Linked DNA regions of Ovis aries. The protein of the gene in region 1 interacts with the protein of each later gene in a biochemical or structural test. Links are inferred from orthologs where the notes say so. Each region holds a gene or a part of one and is shown on either strand. Other genes may lie near its edges. The genes, in order: RRAD, PRKACA and CAMK2G.

What was found.
Region 2: of the proteins of RRAD (region 1) and PRKACA, one has a biochemical effect on the other in vitro, tested with the Homo sapiens proteins (2 studies listed by BioGRID). The link is inferred for Ovis aries from reciprocal best matches to the Homo sapiens genes RRAD and PRKACA.
Region 3: of the proteins of RRAD (region 1) and CAMK2G, one has a biochemical effect on the other in vitro, tested with the Homo sapiens proteins (2 studies listed by BioGRID, with this or other methods). The link is inferred for Ovis aries from reciprocal best matches to the Homo sapiens genes RRAD and CAMK2G.

Annotation. Positions count from the first base shown.
Region 1 is NC_056067.1:34,191,421-34,201,679, reverse strand, and holds RRAD (GTP-binding protein RAD), read left to right. Parts: upstream 1-4,186; 5' UTR 4,187-4,297; intron 4,298-4,514; 5' UTR 4,515-4,529; coding exon 4,530-4,899; intron 4,900-5,576; coding exon 5,577-5,650; intron 5,651-5,775; coding exon 5,776-5,980; intron 5,981-6,826; coding exon 6,827-7,104; 3' UTR 7,105-7,496; downstream 7,497-10,259. UniProt on the Homo sapiens protein: May regulate basal voltage-dependent L-type Ca(2+) currents and be required for beta-adrenergic augmentation of Ca(2+) influx in cardiomyocytes, thereby regulating increases in heart rate and contractile force.
Region 2 is NC_056058.1:9,910,860-9,921,069, forward strand, and holds the start of PRKACA (cAMP-dependent protein kinase catalytic subunit alpha), read left to right. Parts: upstream 1-4,150; 5' UTR 4,151-4,160; coding exon 4,161-4,206; exon of another isoform or gene 4,207-8,090; coding exon of another isoform or gene 8,091-8,112; intron 8,113-9,562; exon of another isoform or gene 9,563-9,618; coding exon of another isoform or gene 9,619-9,771; exon of another isoform or gene 9,772-9,865; intron 9,866-10,210. Other genes in the region: histone chaperone ASF1B, read left to right, coding at 484-690; SMIM46 (small integral membrane protein 46), read left to right, coding at 9,619-9,771.
Region 3 is NC_056078.1:28,950,343-28,959,921, reverse strand, and holds part of CAMK2G (calcium/calmodulin-dependent protein kinase type II subunit gamma), read left to right. Parts: intron 1-1,396; coding exon 1,397-1,451; intron 1,452-2,486; coding exon 2,487-2,552; intron 2,553-4,730; coding exon 4,731-4,803; intron 4,804-4,952; coding exon 4,953-5,055; intron 5,056-5,483; coding exon 5,484-5,567; intron 5,568-6,002; coding exon 6,003-6,097; intron 6,098-6,639; coding exon 6,640-6,762; intron 6,763-9,579.

The DNA.
Region 1 (10,259 bases):
TCCCGACCCAGGGATCGAACCCTCATCTCTTAAGTCTCCTGAATAGGCACACAGGTTCTTTACCACCAGTGTCACCTGGTTTCTAGGCAAGAGTGGCTTTGCCACCCAGTGACCAAGATCTGGCTGCTCAGAGAGGTAGAGCCATCAGTCCACGTCACCCAGTTCCTTCATGTGTGATGTGGGAAATGGTGACAACAGCTTAGGACTGCTCTGAGGGGATTGCAAGTGGATCTAGGACCATTTCAAGTGAACTTCCAGGCAGAGTACCCACCCTCCCATTTCCACAGATGAGGCAGCTCAGTGCTCCAAGAGAGGCAGGTGACCAACCTCCCAGAGTCCCTCAGGCCCCAAGGAGGCTTCCCAACCACCAGTACCCAGCTGTAGATTTCACTGCCTGTGTACCTCTGCAGTGACAGCCCGGATCTGTCTAAGATCTGTGGTGTCTCTGTTCAGCTGGGGGTGGGGGGGTCACAGGGGAGACAGGTGTCACTGAGTCATTCAGCTGGCCCTCCTGGCAGCCAGGCCACAGTGGATGAGGGACACCAAGCTGCTCACATCCAGCCAGCCGGCATATCAGATATCCCCTTTTCAGTTTTGACTCATCTGGGCCTGGCCCCCAGCTGCCTGCAGTGACACCATTTGTGAATACTGGACTAGTGCCTGAGTAACTTTCTGGAATCCCAGCTGCTATCTGCGAACATGGGGATGGGGGGTGGGGTGGGGGGGGTGAGGTGGGGGAATGAAGTTTCAGGTCCCTGAAGCCCTCCGCCAGGTGTGTCTGGCTGTGCTGTTTCTGGCCTATGACTTCTCAGGCCTCGGTTACCACGTCTACAAAATGGGAACAACAAATCATAGCTAAGTGAGACCAACCCAAGGATTAGAGGACACATATGAACATGCCCAGGTCTGTCCATTTTTGCTCATCATCCTGCCCAAAGCGCAAAGGCCTGGCATACAGTTAGGTACTTAGTACAGGTCAGTGAAATGAGTGAATGAATTGGGCCTTAGAACAGAACAGAGGAACTGGGGCATGAGAGCTGTGGTGTGAGGAGGGGTGGGGACACTGAAATCCAGCCAAGTTCCCTTTGCAGCATTTTGCTCTCCCAGGAAGGGGAAGGGCATAGGGTCCCACAGAGAACATGTGAGTAGTGGGGAGAGGGGAGAAGTATCTGTACCTGCTGCTGTCCTGGGCAGACCACTGTTGTGGACAGAATGGAGCAGGAGCAGGAGAGAAGCAGCAGGAGAGGGCCGACAGAGCCGCTCAGCCTGTCCTGTCCAACCAAGGGCGATAATAGAAGTGTTCATACTGAGATATCGATAATACTATATGCCAGACACATGCCAACCAGTTTACCTCTGAATTTCATGTTATTTATACCTTTTTTTTTCTTTTTTGGCTGCACCATACAGCAGGTGGGGTCTTAGTTCTCCAACCAGGGATCGAAACTGTACTCCCTGCATTGGAAGCATGGTCTTAACCACTGGACCACCAGGGAAGTCCTCAGATTATTCATATCTTATAACCACCGTCATGTAGGCATTATTCCTGTTCTACACAGGAGGGAACTGAGGCTCAGCCAAACTAAATGGGCAGAGGTGGGATTTGAAGGGCAGGCTATCCTGAGGGTGTTCTTGCGTCGGTCTGTTCTTCTTAGGCAGCCAAGCTCAGCCCAGAGAACTGAGATGACGGAGAATTGGGGGTGTTTCAAGGGCATGTCCTGGTATGGTTCCTGGGGCCCCTGGCCATACTGATGCATGTTGGGGAATGCTTGGGGCCTGAGTGGCCCAGTGTGGATGCAGTTCCCTTGGCAATGAGGAAACACTGCTGAGGTCAAGAGCTTAGATTATCAGAGGGGAAACCCAGCCCTAATTCCTTACATGACCACAGCTACCCCCCCAACACCCACCCTCTGTTGGACATCCAGGGGCTCTTGTCAGCAGCAAGGTCATGTGTAAGGTGGTTAGGAGGGGCCGTGAGCAGCCCAGCTGGGACTCCTGACGGAAAGTGGTTTGCTGGCTCTTGGGACTTCTGTTGTTTGTTTGTTTGTTTTGGCTACACTGCATGGCATGGTGGGATCTTAGTTCCCTGACCAAAGATCAAACCCATGCCCCCTGCGTTGGAAGTGCAGAGTCTTAACCACTGGACCACCAGGGAAGTCCCAAGACTTTTGTTCTTCGACAGGAGGCTCAGCCCATGACTCCGTCTTCCCACTGGACCTGGTCCAGGAAGCTAGAGGCAACATGGGGTTGCCCAGTCCTCCAAGACCCCCCAAGCCATGTGAAGGACACAAATGGATAGACCACCCCTCAGTTCAGGCCTTGCTTGCTTTGAGGACGTCAAGAACTAGAGGGGCCTGCGTGAGCTCTCTAACACTTACCTAACCAGACCCTGCTCATTCCAAGGCCATTTCAGATGTTGCCAAGGAAACTGACGCAGCAGCCAGAGAGCCCTGACCCCGGTCTCCATGACAACCTACAGCAGCCCACTAGGATCCATCCATTCGTGATGTCACCTGAGCCCTGAATGGGTGCCCCCCACCCCCATCACACCCCTCGCAATCAAACGTCAGTCTAATAGGAGGTCCCTACCACAAAGTACCTCACAGCTTGCCTGCCCCCGGTCCTCACACACCCCAAACATGAGCAAGGCAATAATAGAGGGGCTGGGATAGAATAATAGAAGCTGGGAGAGAAGCAAAACCTAGGACCCTGGGGACAGATTTAGGACTAGAAACCAAGTCTCTCCATTACATCTCCTCCCCTCTGTGCCCCAGCATCCTCCCTGGGTCTGAGGAGGGGCAGTGGTGGCACCAAATGGTGGCTATCCCATTCCCAACCGCCTGACCCCATCCATGTGTGCCTGCACACTCAGTGGCTAAGTCGTGTCCAACTCTTTGCGACCTCATGGACTATAGCCCACCAGGCTCTTCTGTCCATGAGATTTCCCAGGGAAGGATACTGGAGCAGGTTACCAGTTCCTTCTTCCCAATCCCTAGGGTTCTTCCTGAATTGTAGGCGGATTCTTTATCACTGAGCCACCTGGGAAGCCCGATCCCATCCATGCTCTATAACTATGAACCTCCAGACCCCAAGTATGCCTTGAATTATAGGCCCAGTCTGAGACTAAAGGGAAGGAAGGAGACATTGAAGACTCAGAATGACTGGAACCAGACCTGATCCGGTCTAGTCCCACCCCTATCCGCTCCTGCTGGTCTCTGACACCTGCCTGCCAGGATTTCCCTAACTTTGGGCAACCTCCAGGCCAGGAGCCCAATGAGCAGGTATTTTTAGCAGAGTTGCTGGCAGCTGCCTGGAGGGTGCTGAGGGGGAGGCGGTGCTGAGTCCATCCTTTTCCTTCTCTGGGCCCACATTCCCTCTTCAAGGTTCAAGCTTGCACCTCTACCTGCCCCACACTGCCAGAGGGCCTCGCTTCCCCACCCCTTCCCCACAGGCCTCTAAGGGTCCCCTTGGGGGCTTAGGTATCACTAACCCTCATCTCAAAGGGCAGGCTCATCAGGTAGAATCGTCAACTCCCAAGGGCAGGTTTGAGAGTGGGAAGGACCTGGGGTTGAGGTTAGAAGCTTGGATTTAGGGCCCCAAAATAAATGGGTGTCATGGGCAGTGAAGGGTGAAGTCTGTGGACCTGTAACTGGTCTGCTTGCTTGGGCAACAGGCCAGGACTGGGAGAGAGGGAAGGGAGAAATCACTTTTAAAGGGCCAGACCTAAGTCTTTCCTAGTGGGGACTTGGCCCACTGGGCTGATGGGGCTCCTTCCGGCCTTGCCCGCCCCCCAACCCGTGATGGCGCTCTCCACTCCACCTCTGTCCCCCTCCTCCTCGTACCACTCACAGACGCCCTCTCCTTCTTCTTTACCTGCCCTCCACCCACCCCCAATTCTCTCTCTCTCTCTCTCTCTCTCTCTCTCTCTGTCACACACACACACACACACACACACACACTCAGACTGGGCTTTTGTCTTCGGGGTCTGCCCCAGCCCCGCCCTAGAGAGTGAGGCGAGGGCTGGGTGGGTGTGAGGTCCTAGGAGGAGGGTGGGGGATTCCCCTCGGGGGAGGGAGACGGACACGTCAGCCCCCGCACCGCACAGACGGGGGCGAGCGCGGGGGGGGGGGGGGGGGGGGGCGGGGGCGGGCAGAGGCTTAAATAGGCAACTCTGGCGCCTGAGCCCAGAACCGACTGAGAAGGCGGCGGCTGCGACTGGTCGAGTGTTCGCGCCTGGGTCTACGGGTGGACTGTATCCGAGCCTGGTACCTACCTAGTCCTCACCGTGTCTGAGTGGGTGAGTGTCCTGGCAGAGCGGGGTGGGGGTGGTCTCACCGTCTGAGATGGACGAGCCAGGAGAGTGGGTCACTTGTCAGGGCGCAAAGACCTTCCGCGGCAGGTCCTATACCCCGAGCACCTTTCCTGACCCGTGGTCAGGCAGGCGTGTCCCGGGTCCAGCCTCCTACTCCATGTCCACCGCGGCTTACGCGGCTATCCGGATTCCCGTTCCCCAGACGGCGTCCGACGGGATGACTCTGAACGGCGGCGGCAGCGGAGCCAACGGGAACCGCGGCGGGGGCCGGGAACGCGATCGCCGTCGGGGCAGCACACCTTGGGGCCCCGCGCTCCCGCTGCACCGCCGGAGCATGCCGGTGGACGAGCGCGACCTGCAGGCGGCGCTGTCTCCGGGCGCTCTGACAACGGCCGAAGCCGCGACAGGGGCCCAGGGTCCGAGGCTGGACTGGCCCGAGGGCTCCTCCGACTCGCTCAGCTCGGGAGGAAGCGATTCAGACGAGAGCGTTTACAAGGTGCTGCTGCTGGGGGCGCCTGGTGTGGGCAAGAGCGCTCTGGCGCGCATCTTCGGAGGTGTAGAGGACGGGCCTGAAGCTGAAGCCGCAGGTGAGGGACTGGGAGGGACTGTTCGAGGGAGGGGCGAACACAGGATTAGGACTGGGGGCTGCAGGACTGGGGATCAGGGTTAAAAGCAGCAAATACCAACGGAATTCTGAAGGTGCTTTGAGAATCGCGTCTGCCTCCTCCTTTCACAGATGGGGAAACTAAGGGGGAAGGTAACCTAGCCTTTAGTAGGGAAAGAAGTGCTTGCAGTAGAAGACCCAGGTAATATGTTTAATTGTTCTGTAGTGTGAGGACAGGATAGCCCTCCCTGCCAGGACCCGGGAGAACACAACCAGGAGAGTCTAGGAGAGGAGTCCTAGGTAACCAAGGTCCCCAGGGGCTGTCTGTTCTAACTCGGGCCACTGTGATCAAAACTATCCTGGGTCTCAGGGAACAGAAGGGCAGGGAGCCCAGGAATGGCCACCCAGGACATTGTTAGCTTGGGGAAGGGGTAGCTAGGTGGGGGCCTGGCACATCATGCCCTTCACCTGCCCCCCCCCCCCCCCGCATTTCTCAGCCCTGTCATTTCTGTTACTATTTAGCATCTATCGGTGGAGGAGAAGGTTGGGGGGCTTTGGGGAGGAGTTGAAGGGTGTAGCCAGAATAGGACACCTGATGCATTGAGGGGGGGGCGGGTTGTGGCAGCCAACAACTAACCTGACTACTGGTCTCCTGCCCAGGGCACACATATGACCGCTCCATCATGGTGGACGGAGAAGAGGCGTCACTCATGGTCTATGACATTTGGGAGCAGGTAGGATTCAGGCTGAGACCCAGGGCTGGGTGAGAGGGGTGAGCTGGGGGTAGGGACCTGCTGGGAATGACAGCGTTGTAGCTGGGGCGTGAGGACGATTGGGTAAATGTGTCTGTGTCCCCTAGGATGGGGGTCGCTGGCTACCCGGACACTGCCTGGCCATGGGAGATGCATATGTCATTGTGTACTCAGTGACTGACAAGGGAAGCTTCGAGAAGGCCTCAGAGCTGCGGGTCCAGCTTCGGCGGGCGCGGCAGACCGACGACGTGCCCATCATCCTAGTGGGCAACAAGAGCGACCTGGTGCGCTCTCGCGAGGTCTCCTTGGATGGTGAGCAGGGAGCTGGGTTGGAAAGGGAGGGAGATCCTGGCTTCGCTGTGGTCCACTCAGTCTTGACTCAGCTCGAGTCACTGGGGATCATCAGTGGCTAAAAATGTCCAGGAAGAAAACTCAGAGAGATGGGAGAGCTTATGCCCTCCCACAGGTCTCCCGAGTCCTGAGTGCTGGGGAAGGGACCAGATGCACAAGAGGAGATAAAAGCTGCTAGACCATTTCAGAGCCCTCCTTTTTTGTCCTCTTTGTCCCTGGCCTGGCTGATGAGGGGTGAGGAGAGTTCAGGGACTCAGGCCGGGAGGCCAGAGCCTGGATTCCAGGCCCAGTCCAGTTTCTGCATAGTCTTGACCCTGGAAAGAACCCGTCCCCCAACATTGGGCTCAGCATCCTTTGTGACCCCCCAGACCTGAACCCCACAGAAGAACCAGCAGTGACTTGATGATGTCCTCCCCCCATTCCCCGTCATTCATCATGATATAACGGCAAGCCATAAAACACCATGCTGTCCAACAAAGTTGTCATTTTTCTGCATTGACTACTACAGCACTACTGTTTAAATATCAAACTCCAAATTATTTTGATAAATGAGTCTCCTTGTGTGGGCCTCTGTGAGCTCCTTAAGCATGGGCAAGCTTTACAGCTGGGTGACCCAGTGATGCCTGGGCCCCTCCATACACGAGCCGGGGTTCATTGTGTTCCTGGGGAGGATCCAGGACTCCCTTCCCCTTCCCCACGGATAGCTGCCAAGGTGTGGCCAGGGTTGGAGTGGGCTTCTCACCCACTCACCTTTTGCTTACTGATGTGTGCCTGTCCCCCACCCTCCACCCCTGCCACACATACCAGAGGGCCGGGCCTGCGCCGTTGTCTTTGACTGCAAGTTCATCGAGACGTCGGCTGCGCTGCATCACAACGTCCAGGCGCTGTTCGAGGGTGTTGTGCGTCAGATACGCCTGCGCAGGGACAGCAAAGAGGCCAATGCGCGTCGTCAAGCGGGTACCCGGCGGCGAGAGAGCCTGGGCAAGAAGGCGAAGCGCTTCCTGGGCCGCATCGTCGCTCGAAACAGCCGCAAGATGGCCATGCGTGCCAAGTCCAAGTCCTGCCATGACCTGTCTGTGCTCTAGACCCTGGGGCACTTGCTGTATTGTGCAGACAGATGGGCTGATTGGTGGGCTGGCCCAGCCAACCGCCCAAGGTGCCTCAGAGCTGGCTCAGACTCTGGGTGTCCCCCACCTCACGGTCATGGACAGACAGACAGACAGTGCTGCCCAGGGAGGCGGCTCCCAGTGGCTGTTGGGCCCATCTCTGCTGGGCCCACTGAGATGCCTGTGCTGGCCCGTGTGCATCCCAAGCAGCAGGCTGACCCCAGCCAGCCCTTGGGGACAGGCCTGTGAGTGGGGAGAGGACTCTGCCTTTCCCTACACCCTGGTGTGCATGCCCTGGAGGGAGGCTGTTCAGTGCAGTGGCTATTTGTTTACATGCAGATTTTTGTAATAAAGACTATTTCCCAATAGGCCAGGGCTGGTGACTCTGTGTTTCCTTTGATTCTGGGGGCTGTAGGAACAGGAAAGTTTCCTTAAGTTCAGGAAGGGGGCTCACTGCCCCACCGCAGTTTGTGGCCTTAACTATTCTAATGTTAAGAAGGGGCAGGTGTGGATTGTGGTCTGGTTGCAGGGGTAACAGGGTGGGGGGTGGGGGTCCAAGCAGCAGGAAGAGACATGAATCTCACCCAACCTATTATTTAGATTCTTCTGTACTGGGGCCTGGCATTGCCCAGCTGATCAAGGGTTCAATCACTGCAAATCCATACCAGTATCCTTGCCTGGAGAATCCCATGGACAGAGGAGCCTGGCGGGCTACAGTCCGCCAGGGGAAGGGGAGCCTTCTGGGCACAAGTGCCTGCTTGGATTTACCATCATGGTTTCAGGAGTGAGCATTCCCATTCAAAGGGTTGCAAAGATTCGGACATTACTGAGTGACTAACACATACTGTATGTAAAGGAAATTGAGGCTGCCCAAGAGACACGTTCTGTCCCCGGGTGTCATGGCCAAACAAGATTGCTGGGTCGGGTCTGGCTCCTGGGTGGTTGTCTCTGCCCTGATCCCTCCTGAGAGGCTGGAAAGCTGCTAAGGTGGTGTGACTGAGGAAGACTTCCGAGACTCCCTGGCTGGAGAAGGAGGCAGCTGGTTTGTTAAGGCTGGGGTGAGGAAGGCACAGGACCTCCCCAGTGGCTCAGTGGTAATGAATCTGCCTGCAATGCAGGAGCTACAGGAGATGCCAGTTTGATCCCTGGGTGGGGAAGATCCCCTGGAGGAGAGCATGGCAACCCACTCCAGTATTCTTGCCTGGAGAATCCCGTGAACAGAGGAGCCTGACGGGCTACAGTTTACAGGGTTACAAAGGTCGAACACGACTGAAGCGACAGCACACGTGCATGCACAAGAAAGGCATGCTCGGGGGACTTGACTCAGTGTGGCTTCCCACCTCCTGGCAGAGGCTGGGTTGCTAGGCAGGAAGTGGTGGGGGGACAGGGAGGGCCATTCTCCCCACAGAGTGGCCACACCAGAGGACTCCATGTTCGGCATTGCCTAATGTAGGAGCAGGTCCCTGGGGCCCTCCTTGCCTGGAATGAGAGGCCTTGCATTCTCGTGTAAACGTGTGCATCTTTGCTGATAGGTGGAGGTGTGTATCTCCCCACCGCCCGCACCTTGGAAGGGGAGCCTTCTGGGCACAAGTGCCTGCTTGGATTTACCATCATGGTTTCAGGAGTGAGCATTCCCATTCAACAATGGCAGATGGGGGACAAAGCACTTACCTGGGGCCCCACGGGCAGAAGTGGCTGAGTGGGGACTGGGAGCCCAGAGGCAGGCAGGGGCAAGGCTGGGGATGGTTTCTGAGAAGGTTCCAGGCCGGGATCCAGATATTTCTATATTAGTCAATTTTTTCAGGGCTCCTGGGAGCCCTCAGAACTTGGTGAGAACTCTGACTGCGGTTGTTCAATAGCAGGTGGAGGTTTGAAAGCCGTTCCTCAGGCGTGTGATCCCCGTGACTAACCCACATGCCCCCCAGGGCAGCTCAAAGCTGCAGTCCCGCTCCCAGTCTCAGCGTACTTCACCAAGGCAAAGGCGGGCATGGTTTCCTCAGAGCAGGTGAAAGTGCTGAGGCCTGAAGAAGATTCCAGACCTTCCGAGCTCTGTCACTTATTGGCTGTGTGACCCTGGGCAAGTCAGTCAACTTCTCTGTGCTCCAGTATGTGACATGGGCACGATGCCCTTTTCAGAATGGAATGGGTGGAATAATGACAATATCTGCTTAGAGTAGTGCCAGGCACATAGCTGGAGACCCCTCTCATGTGACGTGAGACCCTTTCAACATTCCCACGCTGCACTGCTCCAGGCTGGGGTGCCCAAGTGACCTGGAGGCAGGAACTCAGCTTGTGATGGACAAAGTTGGGGTCAGCTGAGGGGTCCTGATCCAGCCTTCTAGCCTGAGAGAAATTAACCAGATATGCAATGGGAAGGACTCCAGGGAAACCACAGGAAAGATTGGAGACCAAGATCCTTGACCTTTCCCATCCTCTTCCCACCACTCCACACACTCAGGCCCTAGGAGCTTCTCCCGACTCTTCTAGGCTACACCAGTGGGGGAAGGGCCTCCCGTCAGCCCTGCAACTCCCTCAAGGTCACCTGAACTGGCTCAAACTCCTCTCTCCTCTCAAAGGCACGAGACAGTCCATTGTCCCAGCCCTGTCTGTGTCCAGGGGCTAGTGTGAGCACCTAGGGAGCCTCAGGGGTTCTCATGGGCTGCTATCCTCCTACCCCTGCCCACTGGTCACACTGGTGGGTGGTCTGGAGCTCCGAATATCTGGTTCAGGTCATGCACCACTCCCCTATCCTGCACATGGCACCTCCAGCTCCTTATCTTAGTTCCACAAGTCAGTTGGGAGCTGCCAGGGCCAGGCAAGGACCAGGTCATTAATTACTGGGTCCCTGAGTCTTGCCCCGGAGGCCCTCTGAGTCTGATGGAACAAGCTGGTGCCCTCCTCGTGTTGATAGAGATAGCACTATCTCTATGGCATGGGGGCATGGGTAGGAATGAAGTATCACCATGGGAGAGCCCCGAACAAACCTGGGAGCCCAGGGGAGCTTTCCTGGGAGCAAGGACTATTTGAGCTGAGTGCTGAAGCCTGAGCAGGTGATCAGAAGACAGATGAAGGAGTGAGAAGGGCATTCCAGGAAAAAGGAACAGCGTGGACCAAGGTGGAGCTGCAGACACTGG
Region 2 (10,210 bases), on another chromosome or scaffold:
AGAAAACTTATGAATTTTTGCCTAACTAAAAAATTTATGACATTTTTATTCCACTTGTTTGACTTAGTATGAATAGAATACTAGATTTCCAATTTAAAAAAAATAGATATGCTACAAACAACAAAGGTTTATATAGCACAGGGAACTGTAGTCAGTATCTTACAATCACCTATAATGGAAAATAATCTGAAAAATAATATAACAGTCACCTTGCTGTGCACCTGAAACATTGTAAGTCAACTATACTTCAATAAAATATATATATTAAGAAAAAAAAATAATGATAAAATTAAGATTAGATAGGCCCCAGCCCTAAGTTGTGGCACACAGGCCTTCCCTGGAGTTGCACGCATATTGTTGATGGTAATGGAATAAGCAAAGTCGGTTCTTCCTGGGCTTTGGGAGGGGGTCTGAGAGTGCACTGTTTTCTGGGAGAACACGAGGGCATGCTAACGAGGGTTGGTGTTCCTTTTCCTACCCCAGCTCCAGCGGAACATCTTGGCCTCAAACCCCCGGGTGACCCGCTTCCACATCAACTGGGACAACAACATGGACAGGCTGGAGGCCATAGAGAACCAGGACTCTGCCCTGGGCTGCGGTCTCCCCCTCAGCTGCACCCCCATTAAGGGCTTGGGTCTCCCTGGCTGCATCCCGGGCCTCCTCCCTGAGAACTCCATGGACTGCATTTAACTGTGGGACTCCAGGCCCTACTTGGGCCCAGCTGGGACCACGGCCAGTCTCTCCTGGCACATCTGGAAGGGGCAGCCAGGCCTCCCGGAGAGCATTAGGAAGGCCACATGGAGGACTTTGGGGCCATCAGCTATATCCAGGCCAGACTCGGCCCCCAGGAAGGAAGGGGCTTCTGGTCTTTCCTAGCCCTGGCCCAGAGGGTCATCTCCCCTCTACTGCCCAGGCCTGAAAGAACCTGGTACTTCAGTTCTTAATTCTTTCTGTCTTGTGTCCTTTCTCTCTTCTACACACACTATATATTCCACCTGCGGGCCATTGTGCCACCGTCATCCCAGGAGTGCCACTGACCCAAAACTTTTCCCACAGACCTCCCTGGCCTGCCTTGAGGCTTTCTTGGTCAATGCCTGGCAAGGCTCCAACCCTGCTGGGCCAAAGGCTCTGCCATTCATTTCCCTTCCCAACCATCTGAGCAGAGCCACCCAGCTGCCTGGAGTCCCAGGCCAGGAGTCTTGGTAGAAGATAGACTCGGACACAATTTCTGTCCTTTTGCCAGGATGATTTTTTAAGACTTTTCAATTCAGCAGCCCTCTGGAAAACTCTGTTCCCAAAAAGGTGATCAGCAGGATGCTGAGGTAGATGGCTGACTCTCCTTTGGGTCACAGCCACCTTCCTCTTGCCTCCCAACTGGATCTGGCTTTCCCTGGAGGCTGCCCCTTGGAGACGGTGGTGCGTTGGAGGGGCCTGCTGTTCTGTCTCAATATTGGTGTCAGGACTCCTCTGCTTCTGGCTGCCTTGGTCTGCACTCTGCCAAGACCTCATGTTCTCAGGCCACAGTGCAGACCAGGGGAGCAGTAGGGACCCTGAAAGCCCTCCTTCCCCTGCCATGCTCCTCACCCTCACCCCTGTTCCCGCGCTGCTACGTGGATGCTGTTGTGATTGCAGTTTGTGTATTAAAGGGTTTTTATATTAAATGTTTGGTTGATCTGAAAATAAAAAGCACTTCATCTAGATTCTTTCTGCTTTTGTCTCCAGTAGGCTGAGGCGGTTTTGTCTCTCTCTCCTCATGATGGGGGCAGTGGGGGGGGCCCTCTTGCCTCAACCAGTAGGTTGACTGCCCCTTTCTCTCTTACTCGCTTCTTTTTATTGTCTTGTCATAGTTTTATTCCAGACTGAGGTCCAGGAAGATTCTTTTGTCAAAACTTAAGCAACCCAGCTGTTCTGTAGATAGAGCATAACCAGTGATTGTTCAGACTTGTCATGACCTTGACCCACCAGAAGAAATTAGCATTGCTCTCTGAGGACCCACATATCAATACGTGTATTAAATTTTACTTAAACTTACTTTGTAACTCCACATCCCCAGGTGAAGTGGTGAGCCATTTCCCCATAATTCACAGGAAAACCCAGACTTCTCTCCTTGAAACGAAGGTGGACTTAGGAACATGGGTCTAGATGGCTCCTGGGTGGGGTGTACAGGTCATACCAGTCCAGGCTCAGAGCAGCCAGCTGGCTTGTAGAACTGAGACCAGTCAGCCTCCCCAAGCTGAGGGAGGCTAGCTCATCCAGTTCCCTGCCCCTGGCATCACTTCCTGTTTGGGCTTTCCTCTACCTCAGTGGTTTCAACTGGGCAGCAGTTTTGCACCCAGCCAGGGCACATTTAACAATGTCTAGAGATGGTTTTGGTGGCAGGTGGCACTAGTGATAAAAGAACCTGCCTGCCAATGCAGGAGACTTAAGAGATGAGGGTTCAATCTCTCCCTTAGGAAGATCCCCTGGAGAAGGAAATGGCAACACACTCCAATATTCTTGCCTGGAGGATCCCATGGACAGAGGAGCCTGAAGGGCTCCAGTCGATGAGATTGCACAGAGATGGACACGACTGAAGCGGCTCAGCATGGCAGAGATGGTTTTAGCTGTCACAAGTAGCAGAAGAAAAGCAGGCTCTACTGGCATGGTGAGGGGGGTGGGGGGCGGCGGGATACTGCTGAACACTCTACAATGTACAAGGCAGTGCCCCACCCCCAGCCCAGCATAGACTGAGCCAGACCCGAATGTCACAAACGTGGCGGTGGGAAACTGACCGTCCTCACTCTGTCTGTATTTAAAGGCGACCCTGAAGGAAGAGGGGCTTTCCAGGTGGTAAAGGATCTGCCTGCCTTTGGAGGACACACAAAAGACGCAGGTTCAGTCCCTGGGTTGGGAAGATTCCCCTGGCAGAGGAAATGGCAACCCACTCCAGTATTCTTACCTGGATAATCCCATGAACAGAGGCGCCTGATGGGCTACATTCCATGGGGTCACAAAGTCGGACACGACTAATTATGCACGCACGCACGCTGAAGGAAGAGGCATCTTGCTACTCTGTTTCAGGAGATAAGGTTCCTTTTGCACTGCCCAGAGGGAATCCTCAACCTGGCTGTGCCCCAGATTCCTCATCTGTAAAATGGGAATGATGATAATAATACCTACGTGAAAGGAGTGTGGTGCGAAGTAATGTATGTAACAAGTGCCAGCTCTTACTGGCATGAGGCCAGGGTAGGCACCCAGCAAAGAGGTGTCTACTGAGGGCCCCACTCCCAGAGCCCAGCATCCTCCTGAAGCTCCTCCAGCAGGGTCCCATCCTGGACCCAACCCTGCTGCTGCTATCCTGCGCCAGGCCTTATGAATGACGACGGCCGGCAGCCCGACGACCTATGACCCGCGGCGCCTGCCGCGCCCCTCCCCCGCTTGGCAGGTGGACAGCGGCTGCGCCGGGGCTGGGGTTGGGGGGGCCGAGGCGCCAACCTTGGCTGGCCCGCAGCCGCTGCCGCACTGAACGGGGGCGGGGGACTGCGGCGCGCACGGGGCCGGGCGAACGCCTGCCTGGACCGCCTCCTGGGCCTCGGAGCGCTGCGCGGCCGCCGGCCAGCGGCCGCCGGCGCGCCGGGGCAGCAGACTGCGCCTCCGCCCCGCCCTCTCACCCAGGGATTGACACTGAACGTTCTGCCGGGGCTTGCCGGACAGCGCGCCTCCACCAATTGGTATCCTCGCTGGGCGGACCCCGGACCCTGTCGGAAGCCTCCGCCAATCAGACGTGTTAGCCCGCCCGGTTGGGGTCTCGCAAGCGCTCGAGTGGCCAAGCGTCCTAGGAGCGCGTCATGAGGCCGAGAGCCTATGGCAGCGCGGGAGGGTCGCGAAGGGCCAATGAATGGCGGCGCAGCGCCGTCAGTCAGGGCGGCCTAGGCCAATGAGCTGCGGGCTGCGGGGGCGTCACGGACAGCAGCAGCGGACTTGGGCTGAGGTTCCCGGGCGGGCGGGCGCGGAGAGACGCGGGAAGCAGGGGCTGGGCGGGGGTCGCGGCGCCTCAGCCAGCGCAGCCAACCCGAGGGGCCGCCGCCGCCGCCGCCCAGCGTGCTCCGGGGCCGCGGGCCGCCTCCAGCACCCGCCGCGCCGCAGCTCCGGGACCGGCCCCGGCCGCCGCCGCCGCCGCGATGGGCAACGCCGCCGCCGCCAAGAAGGGCAGTGAGCAAGAGAGCGGTGAGTGCCCGGGCCGTGACCCCGATCCCGGCCTCGCGCTGCCAGCCTCCTCCCTGTCCATCACTGCTTGGCCCCTCCCCCCACGCCCCCCCCCATTTCTCTCTGCTTACCCCCAGGCGCCCCTTCCCCCTGCCTGTCCAAGGTTGGGGCCCGGGGCCCGCAGAAGACCTCGTAGGAACCCCGTTGCCAAAAACCGCCCCTCCACTGCAAAGACTGTGCTCCCCCCTCAGCTGTCACTGCCAACCATGGCACGTATGACCGCTGGGCCCCCACATGGGGCCCTATCACCACCCCACTCCGTACTTTCCTGGCCCCTCTCCTTAGGTTCTAATCCCCCCCCACTTCCTCACTCACCTCTTCCACAGATGAGACTCACTGCCAAACCCCGACCCAGGCTTCTGCCAGCCTGGGAGTGCTATGGGGTCTGCCTCCGCCCAACAGGGACCTTGGCCACTTGGTGACCACACCCCTACCCCCTCCAGCCCCCGCCATCTTTCTCCTGCCCTTCCCCTCTTCACCTTATCACAGCCCCTCTTCAAACCCACCCTTGAGCATTTCCCAGAGCCACTTCCAGCATTGTTTTTCCCTTCTGTGTCACTTGGCATGGGGGACAGGCTCTTTCTGGGTCCCTCTGCCCCTCTCTCATCCTGTCACTGTCACTGCTTCTCTGCTTGTGCTTCCTTCTCCAAGCAAGCGTCTGTCCCTGGCCGGGGTCGCACACTGTTTGTGAACCTAGAGAACTGCTTCTGTGCTTGCGAAGCCAGGTTTGAGCCAATCGTGCTGGAACTCCATGCGTCCTCTTCCTTGGCTTTGGGGGTGAGGGGTTTCAGCAGAGAGCCCCTTCCCATCTCCTGCTGTGCAGTGAGCTCTAGGCTCTTTGGAGGGCCCCTCAATAAATGGTTGTGTCACAACTGAGGCTTGATCATTCACCCAGTCCCTCAGGCTTCTTTACCTGCTCCTGGCTTGGGATGAAAAGTAGGGGATTAAGAGTGAGTTTACCAGGGCTCATTCAGCTAGAGCTGGGATGGTGAGAAAGAGGACTCAAGGGATGACAGTTAGGAAGAGTAGTGGGTGACATCTAATGACTCGCTTTGCCAAGAGACAGATTCTGATCATCCCCAGGGTTCACCCAGAGGTGGCCCTGTTTCCACCTTAAGCCCCCAAATCATATAGGCCTTTTCCAGCCAGCCAGGGAAAGAGATTCTGTACCTGGAAATGCCTTCAGAAATGGTCTTGAGCTCCTTCCTCAAGTCATCCAGCTCTCAAATTGTCATCACTCCAGCCCTAAAGTTGGGCCTCAACTAGGATCCTTTTCCAGTTACCCAGAAATAGAGTTGAAAAGGAATGGCCACATCCAAATATGCCTTTCCCAGTTATTTGTCTCAGATCCCAGTGTCTGAGTTCCCTGAATGCTCCCTCCCAGAAAGACCCAAGCATGGAAGCCAGGGAACTTTATTTCCACCCAGATTCAAATAGCAGAACTTATAGCTGCTGAGCAGCCATGGAGAAGCCTGACATGTCACTGATGGGCGGGGGAAAGGGAGGCAAGTGCCTGTAGCTGAGCGCTTGATGACAGAGGAGCAGGTGGGTAGTGACCAAAAATGGTCTGGGCATGAGCTTGGAGGGGATAGACAGAAGGGGAGGGGCTGGGCCCCCAGCAGGTGAGGCCCGCCCAGAGGTAGAAGGTAGAAGCAGGCAGTTGTATATTTCAGTGACTCAGTTGAAAGTTGGGGAGGTGCCATAGTCCTGGAAAACTTTCAAGGCGTATCAAACACATGCAGTGGAGAGAGGTGGGGTGGCAAAGCCACACAGGGAAAAGGATTCCCAAGAAAAAGATCAGAAGCTCCAGAAGGAACCGCTAATTCAGAGTACAGGCTGGACAGCCAGGAAGGGACTATCAGGATAAAATAGAGCCACTATTTACTGGGCAGCTAGGATGTGCCAGGCTAAATGGTCTTCATAGATCTTTCTGCTCAAGTGATTTTTCATAACAGGCTGTTACCTGAATTTTACAAATGAGCTCTCTGAGTTTGACATAGATGATGCCACAGAAGCAGGATTCACATCCATTTCCATCTACCAGCCAAATTCCTGGACCCCAGAATTTCCCAACTCAAAGCTGCCCCCCTGATTTTTCACTATATTCACTTCTATTTTGTTAACGGAAATAAAAATTTTGACTCACTTTTGTTCAGATGTAAGTTTTGATCTGTCCTGAGAAATAATATAAATGAAATCATGGGATTGCTATACCAGTTATATTCTCTCTGGTACACCTTAAGATACAGTGTAACTAGAAAGGCAAAATATCCTTAACATCAGTTCGTCCCCAGCCAGTGGGACCTGGTTACACTTTGGGAAACACCCTAAGCTGTACTTCCTTCCAGAGATTTGCAGGGGCTGTTGGAGAAGGAGACAGGATGAGTAAAGAAGCCCTTTTTTGCTTCAAAGCTCCTATTCTGAGAGGATGGAGTTAGGCAAAATTTGCCCTCTCCCGCAACTAGGATGGGGTGGGGGTAGGGATAGTAGCCAGGCCAGCCTTCAGGGGGCACCTGAATTTCATCTGCCAGACATCAGCCCAACTAGAGTAAGGAAAGTGCCAAACCTTAGTAGGCACCATTTGGCATCCTGGAGCCCCCTGTGCTGCCGTCTCCATGCTCGGGCAGGACAGCCTTGGCCTCCTCTCAAGAGGGCAGGAATTTAGAACCAGCCCGGGGATGGGGTGGGGGAAAGTGTTAGTCACTTATGTCAGACTCTTTGCCGTTCCATCGACTGTAGCCCGCCAGGTTCCTCTGTCCATGGGATTCTCCAGGCAAGAATGTGGGAGTGGGTAGCCATTCCCTTCTCCAGGGGATCTTCCCGACCCAGGGATCGAACCCGGGTCTCCTGCATTGCACGCAGATTCTTTATCATCTGCGCCACTAAGGAAGGGGGAAATCTGTACTCAAAGATGCCAGAGCCACTGGCAGTAGCCTGAGTATGATGCTAAGAGGGCAGAGGAAAAACAAGAGCAAGCCCAGGGCTCTGAACAAGCTAGAGGAATTGAGAGAGGGCAGTGGCCCCAAGAGGCCCTGGGGACGGGTGCCAACTGGGGGTCCAGCCTTGGCTGCCCTGGCCAAAAAGGTACTCCTAAGAGCTGGTCCATGGAAGAAGGTACAGGACTGGTAAGAGGAAGCCCTCCAGACCTCCCCCAACCCCTACCCCAGGTCCCAGAGACCAGAAGATTCATGCTCTGAGAATGAGAATTGCCCCCAAGAGGTCCATGCTGCTGCTGCTAAGTCGCTGCAGTGGTGTCCGACCCTGTGCGACCCCATAGACGGCAGCCCACGAGGCTCCCCCCATCCCTGGGATTCTCCAGGCAAGAACACGGGAGTGGGTTGCCATTTCCTTCTCCAATGTATGAAAGTGAAAAGTGAAAGTGAAGTCGCTCAGTCATATCCGACTCTTAGCAACCCCATGGACTGCGGCCCACTAGGCTCCTCCATCCATGGGATTTTCCAGGCAAGAGTGCTGGAGTGGGGTGCCATTGCCTTCTCCGCAAGAGGTCCATAGATGGGAAGAATTGTGGCCTTCATGACATACTACAGAAGCCTGAGAGGGCCAAACACCGTCTGTGCGTTGGCAGTTGTACAGGTGCCCAAGAGGGTCCTGCCAAGACAGTTTTTCCTTTAAGTCCACCTGGGCTTAAAGAAGCTTGAGGGTTCTCTGCCCCTCCCCTGCACCTACTGGCCCCCAGGTTGGGTTTCTTTTCCTGCCACTACCCCAATACTCCCTGGCTCCCCCTATAGGCAGGGCTCTGGTGATGAGCAGCTAAGCTGGTGCAGCAGGTCTCATGAGCCTTCCCAGCCACCGTAGTCCGGGTGCTTTGAGAGGAAGACTGAGTGATGGCTTCCAACCCCAACGATGGTGAGGCTGAGCCCTGTTGCTATAGCAACTTCCCAGGCACACTCTGACCCTCAAGTCAAGGAGGGATTACAGTAGAGTTTAGGGAGCAAGTGGAGAGGAAAAGGCTGTGGACCCCTGACTGGCCCTGGAAACCCTTCCTAACCACCCTGAGTGGAGATGGGTGGTTTAATTCAGACAAGGGGGTGGGGGGTGGGGTGGATGATCCACCCAGAGTGGGGATCTGACCCAGACCCAGGCAATGGGGTAGACCAGCTCAGTGATGGCATTCAGCTCAGAGTGGGGGGTTGGTCCAGCTCAGTGATGGAGTCCAGGTGGTACTAGGCAGTGGTCCAGTCCACTGTTGAGGTCCAACTCAGACTAGGGGGTGGCTCAGCCTAGGGCTTGGCCTTCCTGTCGCAGACTTTCCAGGAGGAGTCAGTTTCAGGGAACAGGGGATCCTGAGATTTTTTTTGGGGGGGAGGAGGTCTGAGCCTGGGATCCTGCCTCCTGCTGGGGCCCTGGGGGCTGTTTTCCCTGTGAGCCCAAATGGAATCTAGACCAGGGTGGAAGCTGGTACCCCTCCTGTGGGAAACAGGAGCAGGCCAGGCCTACCGTCTCCAAAGACAGCAGCTAGCTGGGTTTCCCTTCTCTGCCACTTCCTGTTGTCAGCAGGGGCCGAGGTTGCCGGGCACTCCCGGGAATAAGTAGCTGCCACTGACCCTGCACTTACTTTTGGGGATCTGGAAAGAAGGAGGAAGATGGTCAAAGCTGCCTCCCCCTCCCCCACCCCTGGGTTTAGCGTTTCGTTTCCGGTTTGGACTTTCAGGGCTGAGAGCAGAGCCAAGCACAGGGCAAGGTTTGACAGAGGCCAAGGACATCCCGGGATGCCATGCCCCTCTCCGCCCCTGCACAGGAGCAGGGCTGAGTTAGTGTTACCCATTCCTCTCTCAAAGTAGCCAAATTTGAGGGCTCTAGCTTCAAAGAGCACTTGGGGGAGGAGATAGGGTGTTTCTCACTGCCCCCCCCCCCCACTCCGCCTTTCTCTCCAGCTGCTCTTTCAGCTAATTAATGGAGTTCTGGGGCCTCCTTGACCCCCAGGGAGGCCCTGGCTGCTGCCTGGGCCTGAGCCTTAACTCCTTCCCCTCCCCAGTGGGCACTGCCCTGGGCACATTGGATGCCATCCTCTGGGCAGTCTAGCACCCACTGAGAAAGGCAGGGCCTGGCAGTGGGGAGCAGTGAAGTCCCTGGAACAGGAAGTTAGCTTTAGCACCCCGCCCCCAGGGCAGGCAGGCCAGCCAGGAGGGACACCCTCAGGAGACTCTTCCCACCACCTGTTGCCAAGGAGGGCCTTTACCAACCTTGGCCAGCTGGGAGCAGGTACCTTTAAATGCTTCCCTAGCAACCAGCTCCTCCTCCCCTGTCCACCCCCACCCCGAGGCCCTCCCAAGAAAGTCAGCTCAGAGACTCTGCTGTATTCCTGGTTTCCCTGCAAAGGGAACGTTCCTGGGAGAGTCAGGGCGGCCTGGGATGGATCCGGGGTCAGGCAGAGGCTGGGATGGGGACTCAGAGACCACCTTCCAGCTGTGGCTGCAGCTGCTTCTCTGGGGCCATCTGATTGTCCGCTTCCTGGGTTACCTGCGCCATACCCTCTGGGCACCTAAGCCGCAACCAGCACCTTGAGCCTCCCTGGCCACGGGCAGATGGGCCCCTGAGCACCCCATCCCACTCCACTCCCTGCCCTTGTACCCTCTGCTGGAAGAGGCAGGAAGCAGAGGTAAGTATGGGGACTCCTGGCTGGGTTTTCCCCCCATCATTATTCCTCTTTATCTGCCCTCTCTTCCTGCCACTGCCACACCCTGTCCCTCACCCCCAAATCTGGCAAGCTGATGAGAGCGCGCACAGCCTGGTCCCTCCCGCACTTTGGAAAGGCCGGAGCAGGGCTGTCAGGATCAAGGCATCCTTGTGGAGCCTCTTAGGGGGGTAACAACAGACAGAGACGCCGACCCACCACGTTGGGAAAAAACAGGATGTGGCATTTCTCAGGGACAACTGAGAGGAAAAGAAGAAGCAGGACCTGCTTTTCTCCTGGATTCCTCTCAAATGCACTCCTCTCTGCCTT
Region 3 (9,579 bases), on another chromosome or scaffold:
TGGGGCACAGGGGAGGCAGGGAAGTGCCTCAGTCCTGAGGAGACACCCTCGTACTGGAAATGAAAGGTATCTTTTGAGCTGGTGGGGGCCTGACACACTAGAGATTTCTTTGTATCTAAGAACTTCACTGGTCGGTTTGGTGTCAGGCCACTCCTGAAGTGCTCCGTGAGGAGCTCCTGGAACTGCGTGAAGGTCAAACAGAGGGAGCCCTTTGGGACACAGGCTCTCCATGAGTGCAGGTGAGGGAAGGGACCAAGCAGGAGTGTTGATCAGAGCAGAGGTGCGTTTGCATTAGAATGATGCTGAGGGGGGTGTTGGCATTTTAACCCCCTGAGGTGGCTTTGTGGGCAGAAGCTTAAAGAGGAGACCTCAGCAGCATCAGGTTGGGCTCTTGCCCAGGAGCTCTGGAGGCTGTGAGTGGGAAGAGATTCTGCTCACCAGCCTTTTCTTTCGCCTTTACTGCAGCTCCATGCAGTAGCCTCCCGTCCCCATCTTGTGGGCACATTCGTGAGCGGTTTCTCTCCAGGCTCCACTGCTTTGTCGCCTGGGTGTGTGGGCTCCTCCACATTTCTTGTAGGAGACAGTGGTATAAACCAGTCTTTGGAGTCAGAAAGAGCTGGGTTCACATCTGGACCCACCAGATCTTTGGCCTTTGGCAAGAAACTCTATGCCTTTGAGCCTCCATTGTCCTCATCTGTGGAATGGGAGAAATACTTATCTCAGAGTGGTCATCAGGAATAATAAACTCCTTGAAGTAGACACTATGTCCTTCCTAAATCCTACCATCTACCACACACAGTCAGCACTCGATACATACTTGTAGCTTAAGTAATGTACGCAAAGAGCCTAACTCAAGGCCTGGCACGAAGTCAGCACTTAATAAATGGTTATTGTCATTGCCTGAATCCGTGTGTTGCCTGCTGGGCTGTGCCTTTGCCGCTTCTTCCCCTGCCCCTAATTCTTCTGCTCCCATTTACTCCAGGGTCTCCCCTCCTGTCATTCTCTGTCCCTCTGAGGTCTGCATCCCTAGGTGCTTCTTGCTCTGCACATCACCCTTACACGTCACATCCCAGGACCACCTTCACTGGGACCAGCCCCTCTTGGAAGAAGGTTCCTGCTTTTCTCCATCCTGCCTTACTTCTTAGCCACAAAGCTTCTGTCTCTCGCCTACATCTGAGGCAGTCTGAGATGGCGACCCGAGCCCTGGCCCTGGGGTCTGGTCATCTCTGCTCTGTGGCCGCATCTTGGACCCAGGGATGCTGGGCATCTGCCTCTTCTTGGGAAAGAGCCAGTGGGGCTGACAGGATGGGACAGGGCTGGGGTGGCCAAGGAGGAGAGGAGCAGGCTTTCCAGGTTTTCTCTCTGTTAATCTCTGTCCCCATCTCCTCTCTTGCAGTACGCCTCCATGACAGTATTTCTGAAGAAGGGTTTCACTACCTCGTGTTTGACCTGTAAGTGCCACTTTCTGAGGGTGTGGGGGTCTTTCCCTCCAGCCGGCTCAAGAGGAAGGCTGGGAAAAAAAGCCCTACACTGGGTCTTCAGCCTCTGCCAAGGGTCCCTCTCCTTTGCTCGTGGCTGCTGCTAAGTCACTTCAGTCGTGTCTGACTCTGTGAGACCCCATAGACGGCAGCCCACCAGGCTCCCCTGTCCCTGGGATTCTCCAGGCAAGAACACTGGAGTGGGTTGCCATTTCCTTTTCCAGTGCATGAAAATGAAAGGTGAAAGTAAAGTCGCTCAGTCGTGCCCGTGGAGAGGGGTTTGATTTTGACCATCCGCTCGGAATGAGCAGATTGCCGAGGGTCTCCTTGCTCACTCAGTGTTTCCCCAGGGCTCTGACCCTGGGGTGGCATTGCTCTTGCACTTTCTGTTCTGCAGCACACCTTGTGCAGATGCTTTTCCCCCCTTGTTTCTCAGTGTGTTGTCCTTAGTGGAGATACACAACGTAGCTCTTTGCCTGACCTTAAGAATTCTGGGAAATTGAAGGCACCTTTTATTAGTTAGTTGTAAACTGGGCTCCCATTGGTCTCTCCCACTCTGGTTGTGGTTTAATGTCTTAAAAGTGGTTCTTCACCTAATGGAAATGCCTCTCTGGTATTTTCAGGGTTGGGTCTCTGTGTCCTTGGTCTCACTGTTCTTCAACTTCAGTAGTAAGTCAGTCCTTCTTGGGCAGCTGGATCTTAGTATTCATTGGTCTCAAATAAAGCTAAGACTGTTTGAGTAAGTCAGTTATTTTCTCTTAACTGCCTGTACATTCATCTCTACCAGAGTATTAGGTAATCTACAAATTATAGACACAGAAATGTGCAGGGGGTGGGGAGGGCTCCCATTGTCCCAGGAAGAAGCTCCATTTCATTGAAGGATTGGTGTGTTCTGAGCTTGCAGACGAAGCACACGTAGAGTTGCCACGTCTGTAAAAGCCGCTGTGCAGTGTGGCTGTTGGTTGCTTGTTGGATGCTGCCTCCTCTGACCCTCTTTGTTGGTTGCAGTGTTACCGGCGGAGAGCTGTTTGAAGACATTGTGGCCAGGGAATACTACAGTGAAGCCGATGCCAGGTGAGATGAGGCCCTGAGGTGTAAGTGTGCCTCTTAACCATCTTAGGGGGCAGGGCATTGTGCCTGTTGGAACCGTCTTTGGGAGCGGTCAGAAGAGCTCTTACCTGGACAAAGATTCTGTAGGGTTGGATTCAGGCTACATTCCGTGGGCATGCTTAGAAGTTAATAATTCAGCACTCCCAGGTCAGTTTTCTGCAAAGCTCTTACAAATCTCTTTCACCCTGTCACACCAGAAATGCCTTTCCTTTGCCCCACTGTATACTCATGAGGGCCCTCCCCTATCTCCACTTTCTCCTTCTGACAAATTCTACTGCATACAAGGCATCCTGGGAATGATCCAGAGATGGGGAAAACATGGTTTGTGTCCCAAAGGAGTGTAAACGTCTGGGTTAATAATCCAACCAGGGAACCTCCTGGGAGATTTCAGCCACTATCACCTTGTGTCTCGACCACTAGGACCAGCTTTTCAGGTTGGAAAACCATTCCTCGGCCACACCCCTCAGCCCCCAGCCCTCTGAGAAACCCTGGCAGCTTCTCCACATGACACAGCAGAATTCCTCCCACACCACAGCTCTTGGGCACTTGTTTGGCCTGCCTTTCCTGCCCCGGCTCCTCCCCCACCCCAGATCTTTTCTGAGGGTGATGTCCTGACAACCTGATTTTGGGTGTCCTGCCTGCAGCCTTCTCAGGCATATGTGCCAGCTCTGGCTGCCTCTGGGGGCGTGGAGGGGGAAACAGCTTCCTCACAGATTTCTCAACCCTCAGAGGCCAACGTTCGCTGATCAGCTTCAGATGCTTCAGCCTCAGGAAAAATTCTCAAGTGGGAGATGAATTCCAGTGCCAGCAGGGGAGGACCAGGCTCTGGGGCGGTGGGGGGGAGGAGGCGGTGATAGCTCAGGGAGCCTGGCGGGGAGGAGGGGGAGCTGGGGCGGGTGACGGTACCAGTGGGCTTGGCCTGGCTCTGCTGGGACACTTCGCACTTTTGCCATTTTTGGCCAGAAGGCTCTCCCTGCTAGCTTGGCTCTGTTCTAATTATATATTTCTGTGGAGACTCGCCTCTTCAGCTCAGTCTTAAAGACTCTTCGGCCTACTCTTGGACCATGTCCTTATGGGGAGGCCTAAGCCTCAGCCTCCAGGAACCCAGCGAGACACTTTGGCTCTTGTGGAAGCCCCAGCCTCAGATTTCAGAGGAAGGAATACTGTCAGTCCAGGTTACTGACGTTCGGGCCGGATCATTTTTGGTCGTGAGGGCCCCTGTTGTGCGTTATAGGTTTAGAAGCATCCCTGGCCTCTATCTGCTAGATGCCAGTAGCACCCTCCCTCTCAGTGGTGACAACCAGCAGTGTCTCCAGGTGTTGCCAGATGTCCCCTGGGGGGCCGAAATCATCCTCTGGTTTTCTCCAGTGCCCTGGACTCCTGGTGCACTCCACTGGGAGTTGACCACAGGTGTGGAGGATGGTTTGGAAGGTGGGTGGCCTTTGAGAATTTGAGAATCAGCAGCCGAATGTGACTCTAGGCTGGTGTGTCTTTTCCTGTGCAAAAGCATGATGAGAAATGCTCCTTGGGGTGCCTCTTTGAAACTCTCTTAAGTGTCTTGTTTCTCGATGATGCCTGTGTACTCATTTCTCTCCCCTGCTAGATGATAAACTTCAGGGCAGGCACTGGGTCCCCTATACAGCTGGTGTGATACCCAGCCCAGTGCTTATAGGTGCTTGATAAATGTTTCCCTACCCCCAAAACAACTTGGGCTTGGTTGGACTATCCTTCCTTAGTTGCCACCACAAGCCTCTTCTCCAAGAACACAGTTACTATAGGGGGAAAGAGGAAGGAGGAAGGGGTTGGATGGTGTCTCTTTCTCAGGAGTCTGAGGTATTCTTCCTTGGAAACAAATTGGATATGTTGAGCCTTCACAATCTAAGGAGGCTTGGTGGACCCTGTTCTAGTCTGTCCTCTGCTGTTATCTAGTGGAAGACCCTGGACAAACCACTTAGTCTGCTTGGGCCTCAGTTTCCTCTTTGGTAAAGTAGGTTGAACAGATGGTGTCCAAAGTCCGAGGTTTTAGCTCCTCATTCAGTGATTCTGTGTGAATCCGTTAGCCAGAGTTAAGTGCTTTAGTCTACAGCATGTCGTCGTGGATGGTTTTACCCTGCACTGACCTTTCTTTTCGTGCTTTTGCAGCCACTGTATACATCAGATTCTGGAGAGTGTTAACCACATCCACCAGCATGACATCGTCCACCGGGACCTGAAGGTACTTTTCTGCCCGGCTCCCCTCTGCCTCTTGTTTGTGAACCACTGGCGCCACCTGGCGCCAGATGATAGTACTGCATGGTCCCAAGCTAAGCTCCCTTTGGGCTGTGGGATTGGTGCCTCACGAGGCTCTCTGTCTTCCTTATACAGCCTGAGAACCTGCTGCTGGCGAGTAAATGCAAGGGTGCTGCTGTCAAGCTGGCTGATTTTGGCCTAGCCATCGAAGTACAGGGAGAGCAACAGGCTTGGTTTGGTAAGAGTGACCCTGTCTTCCTGGAATGCAGCTCCCGCCCTTCCTCCTCTTCCTGATCTGCCTTCCTCTTTCAGAACTACAGGCCAGACCCTTAATGGTCCTGGCCTCCTCAGAGACTGGAGGAAGGGCGGGCACAGAGTTCCCCCTGGCCCTCCGTGACTCAGTACAGTGAGACTAGCTGCTGTCAGCACTGCGTTTTTGCTGCCTCCGGGGACAATGGAAGTTCCTTTAAGGCACATGTATTCGCCCTCTGGTTTAGATTCCGGGCACTGCAAGAAGCCCAGCCCGTCGTCTCTTGCTGCCCAGGTGCTGAGAGCTTATGTAGCCAAATCAACAGGAGTAAGAAGGGACTTGGGGAAAACTGCTGATGTGGATTTAATGAGAGAGAAAGTGGGTTCAGTGTGCCTCCGCTCTCTCTTCCGCTACAGGTTTTGCTGGCACCCCAGGTTACTTGTCCCCTGAGGTCTTGAGGAAAGATCCCTATGGAAAACCTGTGGATATCTGGGCCTGCGGTAAGCCCATTCCACACACTCAGCTTTTTGGTGTTAAGGGCGCTCAGCTTCCAGCGATGACAAGAAACAGGCATTGCTATTCCCTGCGGGTCCCACAGGCATCTGGTATATGTGAAGTCACAGCATTTGCTCTGGTGTCCCCCGGGATGGCTGTTCCCTTCACAACCTCCTCCCCAGCTTCCTAGAAGATGATGTCTCCTTCTCAAAAGAGGGATTTACCCATGCCTTAGTGGGTGGGTTGTGCCTGAAGAAATCCCAGACATGGCGTGGTTATGTGGGGTGTGAAGCACAGTGGCACAGCATTGTCGGCTGCCATCCACCTCTCTCTCTGGGATGGTCCTTGACTTTCTGGGTGGCTCGGAGCCCCATGTGGCTTTTCTTGGTTCTTCAGCAAAGCAGGTGACTGACCCCAGTGACCTGTGTTCTGTCTTGTAGGGGTCATCCTGTATATCCTCCTGGTGGGCTACCCTCCTTTCTGGGATGAGGATCAGCACAAGCTGTATCAGCAGATCAAGGCTGGAGCCTATGATGTAAGGACAAGTTTGTTCCTGCCCCACTGTCTAGGGGAAGGGGGTGTGCTGAGTGTGTTGCAGGGTGTGGGGAGTTAGGGATTTTGAGGACCATATAGGCCTCAATTCTTGTCACCACCTGTCCCAGGGAGCAACTTTTTTGCACAGCCATTGTTGGTGGCTGCAGAATCAGGGAGTCTACTAAAGCCCTTTGTTCTGTTATTTGCAAAGAATGGTGTGGCTGTGTAGTGTGCCGTGTGACATAGAGATGAGAAGTATGGCGGCTCCTCCCACTGCGGTGGGGCCTTGGGCACAGTGTTGAGCAGCAGGTTCCTCCTTGTAGGGAGATGGAGTTGAACCAGATGTCAGGGTCCCCTGATATGATATTCTGGCATTCTAACCATGATTGTTCTGTTTTTCTTTCCCAATCTTTAAGTTGACTCCTGGGATACCCAGTGCTTAGCCCACTTCATGCTAGGCAGCTTTCGATAGTTAACCCTGGTTACAGGGGGTATAAGGTGCACAGATTTTATATCCCTCCTTCTCCTGTTCCCACTTCTTAGTTCCCATCACCAGAGTGGGACACAGTGACTCCAGAAGCCAAGAACTTGATCAACCAGATGCTGACCATAAACCCTGCAAAGCGTATTACAGCTGACCAGGCTCTCAAGCACCCATGGGTCTGCGTAAGTGTCTTCTCCTGAGGTCAAGGAGATCCAGGATATCAGCTCTCAATGTGCTCATAGCACTGTCTTTACCCTCCTTCTTGTGACTAGAGAATAATCACGTGGGGCCTTGAGCTAAGACGGTGCAGAGGGGACAGGGGACTGGGTGGAGCCCAGGGGCAGCAAATGTCACCAAGAGAAGCCAGGGAAGCTATTGTGACTAACTGACCTCTCCCTGACCTTCCCCACTCATTTGGCAGGTATGACTTAGTTTTGCTGTTGAATGAGGGCTTAGGTTGACCCTTGCAGACTCTAGTTGATGACAGAAAGCAACCAGCAGAACTCAAAAGTAAATTGCCATGCCTAGAGTGCATATCCAGATTCCAAATAAGACAACTCTAATGGGAAGGTGACGAGACCCAACAAATAAACAAAAGGGGCCTGTGAGCAATGAAAAAGAGCTCCTGAAGTTCAGTCACAAAGCTCATCCTAGAAGAGCCCCCAGGCTATCGATGTGGGTCATCATCATGCTCTGTTTTTGTGTAAGCTTCTATCTGGCTGCAATATCTTTTTTCAAACAGGGTCTGCTATAGTCAGGCCTCCTGACAACCATGATGCATGTATTCATTTGTTCTTTTCCATGTTTACTGAATGCCTCTTTGGTGCTGGTCCCTGTGTGCTGGAGATACAAAGATGAATAAGGCCTGCTGCCTTCCCCCACAGATCTCAGAGATGATCTGGGGAGACAGGCACTCAAGCAGGCAACCAGTCTGCAATGTGACAAGTACGTAAAAAAAACCTAACGAGTGTATAGGAGCCCCTGCCATCTCTGGTGGGCAGTGGGATTGCTGAAGGTGTGGAGGAGGTGAGCTCTGTCCTGGTTCTTAGTAGATTACTGGAAGTTCCCCAGGATGATAACCTGCAGACTGAGCTTAGCACGGGCTAAGGTGAGAGGCCATGGGGAATTACGGCAAGATTAAGGAATGTTAAGCAGTTTGGTTGTAGATGAAGGTAAGGCTGCAGGAATATAAGAGAACGAAGCCAAAAACGATTCCAGTGACATACAAGTTTCTGCCTAAGGAGTTTCGGTGTTACTCTAAAAGCGTAGGGAACCATTTAAGAGTTTCAAAGAGGGAATGAAATACGCAATTAAGAAAGATCGCTTTGGAAGCTGTGTAGAAAATGGAATTGAAGAGGCAGGGGCAGAGAGAGCTAAGGAAGCTGTTGTGGTTGTCTAAGCAAGGCCAGACAACGTTTCAGCTGAGGGTAATGATAGGATAGGTGGTGTGGCAAGGAGTGGACACATTTGAGAGACAAAATAAGAAGGACTCTGTGACCAACTGGATTTGGAAAGTGAAGGTCTTTTGAGAGAGAGATCTGTGGGAATTGCCAGGTTTTGAGTTGGTAACTGAGTTGGAGGGTTGTACCATTCACTGACCCAGAGGAAACCTAGAGGAGGAACCCTTTTATGAGAAAAGATGATGATTTTAGTTTCATACATGTTAAGTATGAGGGCCTCCAGCTGGAGATATCTCGTGGGGAGTTAGAAGTATGGAGAAGTTAAAAATCAGAAATACAGGTTGTGGTCATTTCTGTATGGATGGTGTTGGGGCTATAGAAATAGATGGGATTGGTTCTCTGCTAGTTGACTCCTTACTGTGAGCTGTTGTAAGAGAAGATACGGCCACCAGCATTTAGTGGCCCGGAGAGGAGCCAGCAAAGGGGGCTGCGAATGAGAATGTCCATGGCGGGAGGAAGATCAGGAGATCCTAAGAAACATGAGGTCTCAGGAAGGGAGGGTCTGTAATCAGATGCTTCAGAAAGTCCATGATAAAGATGGAAGAGAGCCTGTTGGCTGTGACCAATTAAAACCATTGTTTCATTATTTCACTGAAAGAGGCAGTGGAGGCAGAGAGACCAGTGATACTGCTTAGAGAAGATGGATGAGTCGGGAATTTTTAAAATCTTGCAATTGATTATATTGTGTTGACTGCAGAGAAGAATATGATGCAGAATAAAGGGTTAAAAATATTGGCTAAATTTTGGCTCAATGAGACCTGTAGAAGGTGTCCTATCTACTAATCTGGAAGATAATTTGACTTGTTTTGTATAAAAAACAAGATATATATATAGGCTAATTGAAGAACCAGTGTTTGGAAAGCACAAGAGAGGGGCTCTGGAGCCCAGGGCAGGGGCCAGCACATGAGTGGTGATGCTTCTGAGACCTGAGATTAGGTTGCAGGGGGGTGAAAATCAGCTTGTGGGGGCTGGAACTGAAGAAGTTCTTGCTCAATCATCTCTCATTTCTCTTGGTTTAGAAGTTTACACTTTGGAGGAGGAAAGGAAATATGATACACTCACACCCCCACTCCAGAAGGTAGACAGAAGGGAGAGTTGCTTCCGGGACCGGGAAAGGGAGAAGCCAGGGATGAGGGCAGGGATGGCAGGGTGGTCCCATGGGGGAGTGGGCACCAGGCTATGTGTTGTAGGTTTTATTTTTCTAGCAGACTAGCCAGGATACAACAAGAGCAGAGTAAAGGGATGAGCCACTTAAAACGGGTACTCAAGAATTGTGGGAATCGTATGTTCTGGGGGCATGTTTGTGGGCCCTACTCCCTATCATCCTGTATATCTCAGTAGCCCCTGAGGACATCTCTATATTAGGATATTATGTAATAATTGATGCTTGTATTGCTGACCCTGAGTCATCAGGGAAATGTAAATCGTGTCTAAGGGACTCTGTTTAAAAGTTAGCAGTAATACATTGAAGAAAAATTCCCATCCAAAATGGTGAAGAGAATTGATGCGTCATGGTAAAGATCCTCAGTTTCTCAGATC